Cricetulus griseus: one gene and its partner. The protein of the gene in region 2 purifies or fractionates together with the protein of the main gene of each other region. This does not show direct contact. Links are inferred from orthologs where the notes say so. Each region holds a gene or a part of one and is shown on either strand. Other genes may lie near its edges.

Region 1 (3,923 bases), on a different chromosome or scaffold from region 2:
ATAGTATGCTGTTAAGTTTCTCTGGCCTTTGTCAGTTTGAGAAACTGATGCTATGGCATTAATGTCCCCAAACTAATATTCTATGCCTTGAGGGAAGCATGTGTGATGGTTGAGGTACTGCTGTAGCTGACCGTGGACCTCCATTATTTCTGGAACAGTTCCAGGTAACACCACCCCCCCCCCTGCACACATTTCTGTTTAATGCTCTATGCATCCAACATTTCCAAAATCCCTGTAGCTTTTCTTTGAAGGAAGTTTCATCCAGGAATGGTCCTTCTCATGTGACTTTTGTGTCTGCACGTTCTAAAAGGGCACATTCTGATGACTTTTCTAGACCCAGAAAGTCCCCAGTTCATCATCTTGAGAACTACATTCACAAAGACTCGCCTGCATTGAGTTTCTAAGTCCCAGCCCCGTGAACCGCTGATACAACAGTCAGCATGCCCACTCCCCTTTCTAGGCCTCAGCTGCCCCAAATAGTCACCCCTGCAACCCGTTAGGCCAAATCTTTCCTGGCCCCATAGATAGTCTGTGTTCCCATCTCGGGTTTTACCATATCCCACCCATTCTCTCTCATTGTCTCCCGGCTCTTTTGCTCACACGCAGCAGCCTCCATGAGCAAGGCCGCAACTCTTACCCGGTTTAGGCACTCTTGCAGTCGACTTCAGCTTGTTAGCAACCTGCAACCAGCGAACTTCAACCCAAGACCAGACACCCTTTTCTACGGAGAGGTATGGGCCCATGATCAGCCGAGCTTCCTTCCTCACGTTGATTGGTCTAGCGCGGGTCCGGCGCAGCCAGTTGACGCTCACAGCGCGATTTTGTCCAATGAGATCGTCAGTCCTTGCCGCCACCACACTGCCCTCTTACCCTGGGGCGGACCTTGCCAGGTTAGCCCCACCTTCTCCGTCCGCAAACCAATGGGAAGCGGGTCGCGCGCGCGCAGAGCAGTGGGAAAGGCGCCGAGGCCGCGAGTACGCGTTGCCTTAACAACCGGTCGCGGAGGAGTCCATTCGGCGATGGTAAGTGCTGGGCGTTCCATGGACCCTGCGTAGTGCCTCCGAGCCCTTCCTAGGCCTCATTGCGGCCCTGCAGCCTTTCCTGCATTCTTCTTCGCTTTGGCGTACTAGTTCTTCCTTGGAGCTCTATGCCGGAAGGGTAGGAGAAAAAGTACAGCCTCTGGCCGCTAGCCTGCCTGCGCTTCAACACTTAACCCTCCCCGCCCCCAGTCACCTTCAGTCACCCCTAATCTGCCTGTTGATCTCTGCTGGTTTTCCTGGAACCACAGGTGACCATTCTGTTGCAGGTAACACTCAGGCTTCCCACAGACTCAGACCTCAGACAGACACAGGCGTCCTGGCCGCTGCCACCTGCTAAAGTTTATGCGTGGTACTAAGAGATTTACTATGTTCTGATGGTCACAAATGTATTGAGGCTTTCAGGAGATGCTTTGAGCTTCGCAGACAAGGCACCAAGTGCTAAATGGATTGGGAACTAGCATCCTAAGTTGATGTTTTAAGTACATGTCTAGAACTCAGATCCCCAGATTCACAGACAGTTGATATCTGTTAAGTATGCATAATTAGTTTCTCACCTAGCTTTCTTTCAGGATGAAAAATAAGGGGTTTCCTGGCCTCTAAAATCAATATTTTTTAAAGAGTCAGAGGTTCATAGAAACATTAATTGTTCTTTCCAGGAAACTTCCTTATTGCTCAATTTATTAGGCAGATCTTTAGAATCAGTTGGTATAAATTATTTTTCCATTAATCAGCTGTCTGAGTTAGCAGTGGCATTAGAACAAGGAGGGATCTTTTTTTTCATCTTTGGTAATGAAAACTTAAACCACACCGTGTTGCTTTAATTGAATATACAATATAGAAATTTGTGACAATCTATTCATAATAAAATTATAAGTTTATTACTTACAAACAGATATGGTCTCAAATTTGCTGTTTACTAGCTTTAGAAAAGAAGGAGAAAATGCAAGCATGTTGAACCTTTAGGTAAACATGTTATTCTCATTCAAAGAGTTTTTAATGTTGCTTTTTTTTTTGTTTTTTTTTCGAGACAGGGTTTCTCTGTGTAGCTTTGGAGTCTATCCTGGCACTCGCTCTGGAGACCAGGCTGGTCTCGAACTCACAGAGATCCACCTGCCTCTGCCTCCCGAGTGCTGGGATTAAAGGCATACGCCACCAACGCCTGGCTAATGTTGCTTCTTTATATTTAAAAGTTTTTGATTTAAGAAATCTTGATTTAAAAAATTTAATTTTCTAAAGTGACATGTCTATTAAAGGTACAAATGAATACACTATCTGTAGTATAAACTTGAAGACAGTGGAGGCCAGAATTATATCCTGTGATGAAAAACTGGTCATGTTAACACCAGAAATTCATATTCATATATTCATTTGCTCTATGTTGATCTATACAGGGACAAGGAGAAAAATGTTAATATATTATTTTAAAATGAAAAGTCCCTTCAGGCTGCTGGCTCCCCAGTGAAATATAATTGGATTTAATCATGTGAGACATTACATTATTAACAGAAATGATGTTTTAATTTACAGTTATGGTAGAACACAGTCATTTAATTAGTGTATTGCTGATTTTCTGTTTTTTACAATGTGATACTAAAAGCTAAAATATACTTATTAAAGGGGTTTTAAATTAAAGAGAGTTTTTCTATTTTTCTTCTCAGGATTTTTTTTAGAGTTGGGGTTAATTTTACTTAGTTTGAACCCTTGTTATTTGTGTAAGGGAGAAGGGGACTCAGTCTGAGCATGAAGGTCAGAGAACAACTTGGAAGAGTTGATTCTCTCTACCATGTAGGTGCTGGGTTCTCACTTATGTTGTCAGGCTTGGCAGCAAGACATCTCACCAGCTTATGAAAGTTTATAGAATGACATGTACATTACTCAGAGTGGAGCATAAATGAAAAATTTATGAATGTCTAGAACTGTCATAAATAAAATATGGACTATGGCTTATAATACTGTGCTTCTGTGTTTGTATAATGTCTGAAGGCCTCTACTTTTAAGAAGACAAACATGGCATCCAGTGGCCAGAGAAAAAGAATGAGCCCTAAGCCTGAACTGACTGAAGAACAGAAACAGGAAATCCGGGAAGCTTTTGATCTCTTTGATGCTGATGGAACTGGAACTATAGACATCAAGGAACTAAAGGCAAGCTGCACACATTCCTGTTTTGGTGCCTTGTGTTTCCTTGTTGTTTGTCTTTTACCTATCACCTTTCTCCCTGTAAAAAGTAACAGAAAAAGGTACCCTGTGTATATTTAACCTGAAACAATGATCTAATGATAAAAGTTGATTGCAAATATCAATTAAATCAGCTTTACAGTGTTCCCTAATCATTTTCACCATTTTGTTATTATCATCAATAGCCATTTTTGCGTCTACATCATTTATATGTGTTTATTTAGATGATCCTGTTTTCGTTGTAGGTTGCAATGAGGGCTCTGGGCTTTGAACCTAAGAAAGAAGAAATCAAAAAGATGATAAGTGAAATTGATAAGGAAGGGACAGGAAAAATGAACTTCAGTGACTTTTTGACAGTGATGACTCAGAAAATGGTAAGTTAGTTGAGATAATGAGCATACTTCCCATCCATAATGGTAGATACATGGGAATCTAGACATAAAAAGAACTTCATCCAATAAAATCTATACCATTCACATGATTGAGCATTGTATTTATAATTAAGAGGATCCCTAATTTTCATTTGGCTTTCTTTAGGGTTACGGTATCACAGAAATCATTTTACCTTGTCTCATATGACCATATGATAATCACAAGCATTAAAACATGTTAACACAGAGATTTTCATATGCTTCTCATTTTTATTTTAATATTATTAAAATTAGATTAGCATACAATAAATCAGGTATTGTGACATTTTTCGGACAA
Region 2 (3,758 bases):
CCTTGGAGTCTCATTAGATAAAGGTGATGTTTGCTTTTGAAGTAAGAAGCAGAGGCATGCTGCTTTTTTTGTTGTTATTGGGACAGCAACTTAACATCGCGTGAAGAAACATTATCAGTTCCAGAAGTTTTGTTTTCCCTATTTGAGGTTGGAGTCTGAACTTTCCTCGTCACTGCTGAATGTGTCTTTGACTAACAGTTCTGTCTTTTTTCTGAGTTGCATTCTATGATGAGTCTCTGCAAGACGATTGCCATCAGAGTCATAGCCAAACCATCTTGGAGGGTTGCGAGAGCTGTATTCCTGATGTTGGACCACAGAGGACATTTTGTGAGCTGCTGCCCTGTAACAACAGTGCTGAGCGTTAGTGAACTGCAGAAGGAATCCCTCCAGTTTTCAAATTTGACCGAGTTTGGAATTCAAAACTTACTATCACTAGTCACATTCAATGAAGAGCTTTGCTTCCTGTTAGAGAAAGTTGGGAAATTTGCAAATATCAGGCACCCCAGGCAAAAGTATCTGTAGTCCAGCCAGTTAGGGCTTACCAAGCTGTATGTTCTAATAAATGCCCAGGAGCAGGAACACTGAAGTCATTTACAGTACTTTTGAGTAAGCGCTCAGCCTGATGCAGCTCCAGTTTATTTGATGAAGGAACAACCTGACCCACCCTCCCTGTGAAGACTAATGTGTCAGAATGAACCTCATCGCCAGAGTTCACAGACCCCTGTGGATGTATGACGAACTCTAGGAACTTTCTAAAAGCCTGTGTAGTTTTGTCTCCAGTATATATTTTTCTTGTGACTCAATGATTAAATGATTAAAAATATTGTTAGAATTACTTAGGAAGAAATAAGGAAGCAAAGAACATACATATGCACGTGCATACATGAAGACATACACACATTTCCTCTCAATGAACAGAGATGCAAAAATTCTCAACATAATACTTATAGTCAAATCCCTCAACACATTAAAAAGTCCACATACTATGATCAAGGTGGTGTCATGGCAGCGATGTAGCGACGGCATAACACATGCAAACCAGTAAATGTAATCCAGGGCATAAAGACATTCAGAAATCACACGATTATTTTAGTAAATGTAATACAGGGCATATAGAGACTCAGAAATCACATGATTATTTTAGTAGGTGAATAAATGGCCTTTGACAGCAATAAATATCCATTTATGATAAAAACTCAAAACCAAAAAGCACTAAGGACAGAAGGAGCATACCTCAACATAATAAGGACTATATATGACAACCTATAACAAACACACTAATTGGGGGACACATTTCCTCTAAAAGCAGAAGTAAGACAATAGTGTCCACCCCTTCACTCTTATTATTATGTTTATATTCTTAGCCAAAACAATAAGGCAAGAAAAAGAGATGAAAGGAATACAAAGACAAAAGGAGAATCAAATTATCTGTAGACAATATGACCATGCACTAAAAGACACTAGTGACTCTTCTCAAAAACTCTTAAATCTAAAACACTTCCAGTAAAATATCCAGTTACCAAAAATCAACATCCAAAGCCCAGGAGTGTGTATATATATATATATATATATATAAATATATATATATATATATATATAATTAGAGAATGATCTCATTCATGATAACTAAAAATAAAAAATCCAAACCACACATGCACATGTGTGCAGGTATGTGCACACACACACAGCCTAGGAATAAACTTCACTAGGTAGGTAAGATGAAAACTAGTTTTCATTTATAATGAAAACTAAGTATTCTACAGTGAAAACTAAAATAATGAAGAAAAACGCCCAAGGCTGCTGGCATTGACTCGAGACAAGGACACTATATTCCAAGACAGCGGTGTCCTTGACTTTCAGGGAAAGGTTATGCATGTTTAGGTAGCAAAGGACTTGAAAGTTGACCAACTTATATGTTACCTGTGGTTTCTGAAAGCACTGGTTTTAAAGAATTGTGACTAGTTGATATGAAGCTAAGTACTCATTGCTCAGTTTGGGAAGGTGTAACATGTGGGCTGTTAATACGGTTCTTCATTCAGCTACAAGCTAGAGTAAATTTAGTGGTCCTTGAATTTTTAAAAGTTTTAGACTGTAAAAGTTATGAGTGCATTGTGCAATATATTAGCTATCCATCTTGTCACATGACAAGAGGGTCTGTAAAAATTATGGTATTAAAAACTTAATAGTAGGGGACTAAGAAAAATCCTGAGAAGGAAGTTGCTGCTGACCCAGTACAGAGAAGTGGGCTGGGTTTGGTCACTGCTGTGGCAGGCAGTGTCACAGGAAAAGAGCGATAGTAAGCCAAGTGTTTATCCACAGCATAGGAAGTGCACGGTGGAATATGCATTTCTCTTTGCTGTTTTTTTTTTTTTTTTTTTGGCTTCCAGTACCACTTACCCCAGCTGTTTCACCCTTCCACCCACAAGCAGCTTCAGTGAAAGAACTAATTAGTATGTCTGTGGTCTCAGTAGTGAGCAGTGAGGCTTCAGAAGGAGGCCCGCTTCCCCTGCTCACAGGCTCTTCCAGTCTGGGGTGAGTGGGCTGCTTTTCTCAGGGAGGTAGACTGAGTGGACCACAGTTCAGTGGCAGAGCTAGAGCTAGGTGACAAGGGGCAGAATTTGGTTGCCTACTTGACCATAGGGAGGAAGGTGCTGAAAGTGAAAGGCCTCTATGAAAGGAATCTAAAACTATGAAGTTAATTTTAGAAGGGCATCCCAGGTTCAACTCAGAATGTTGGTTTGGTTTCAATTAGTGAAAATACAAATGGTTACAGGTTACGAATGGCATAGCCACATGCCGTGCTATCCTGGCATTTCCAAGGCCTTCATATCTAACTGCCTACTTACACAGAGATGGACTTGCAGAATTGCATCTTGAGGATCCGGAGTTGTTTGCAGCCAACTCGAAGGTCCTGAAGGATCTGGTCTGTAAGTAGGATACAGCCAGAGATATCCAAAATGTGCAGATAATGGCACTTTGCAGATAATGTCTCCAACCCTCCATCAGTAATCTGCACACGCAGCCAAAGTAAGTAACAGTTATTGAGCAACTCTGTCTCACAGGGGAGCAGTATTTTAATTTAGGGTGCTGTACTTACATATGGTAGATTAGGTAACTCATACATCAAGCACCTATTTCTTAACATTCTGAAGCCTGGGAAATCCAAGAACAAGATGGCTACACATATGGTGAGGTACAGATTTGCAGATGTCTGCCTCGTATCATGCTGTTAGTGGCATAGAGAACTCCAGCCTCTGCTGCTTCTTATACGGACATGATCCCATAATTGCAGCATCCCTTTCATGACATCTTCTTACCCTGTCAGGCTTTCTTTCACCAAGTTTATCCCATGATAAGCCAAGTCTGTGGTTTAATTACTTTCAAATAAGATGGAAGAGGAAAATACCTGCCTCAAGTGACACCAGAGGATTCGTGATTTCATTGTTCTTTTTCACTTAAGCATCCTCTGGTCTGGATGAGAAACAGTCACCTTTTCTTTAGTAATTAATACATATTGTGTCATTGTGAGGAACTCAGGAAATGCTACAGCAATGGGGCTGTCCATGCTTGAAGTCCTCTGTAAAGCTTTACCAATTTGGAAAAGTATGCCTAATAACATCACATTGCAAAGCTACTAACATACATGCCCCAAAGACCATCTCCATACAGCATAGGGTTTCCATGAGAAGGAGCCGAACATCTCCGATAGGTCATATAAGAATAAGTGGCCCAGTTCAGGAAGGATAGCAGTAGGCTTG

What was found.
Region 1: the proteins of Fbxl13 (region 2) and Cetn2 purify together in Homo sapiens (affinity purification with mass spectrometry; 3 studies listed by BioGRID and IntAct, counting the BioPlex papers as one, with this or other methods). This does not show direct contact. The link is inferred for Cricetulus griseus from reciprocal best matches to the Homo sapiens genes FBXL13 and CETN2.

The regions. Positions count from the first base shown.
Region 1 is NC_048604.1:2,887,451-2,891,373, forward strand, and holds the start of Cetn2 (centrin-2), read left to right. Parts: upstream 1-875; 5' UTR 876-920; coding exon 921-1,022; intron 1,023-1,027; exon of another isoform or gene 1,028-1,158; intron 1,159-1,177; exon of another isoform or gene 1,178-1,306; intron 1,307-3,023; coding exon 3,024-3,182; intron 3,183-3,460; coding exon 3,461-3,589; intron 3,590-3,923. UniProt on the Homo sapiens protein: Plays a fundamental role in microtubule organizing center structure and function. Required for centriole duplication and correct spindle formation. Has a role in regulating cytokinesis and genome stability via cooperation with CALM1 and CCP110.
Region 2 is NW_023276806.1:173,022,606-173,026,363, reverse strand, and holds part of Fbxl13 (dynein regulatory complex subunit 6), read right to left. Parts: intron 3,011-3,758; coding exon 2,847-3,010; intron 341-2,846; coding exon 139-340; 3' UTR 1-138. UniProt on the Homo sapiens protein: Substrate-recognition component of the SCF (SKP1-CUL1-F-box protein)-type E3 ubiquitin ligase complex.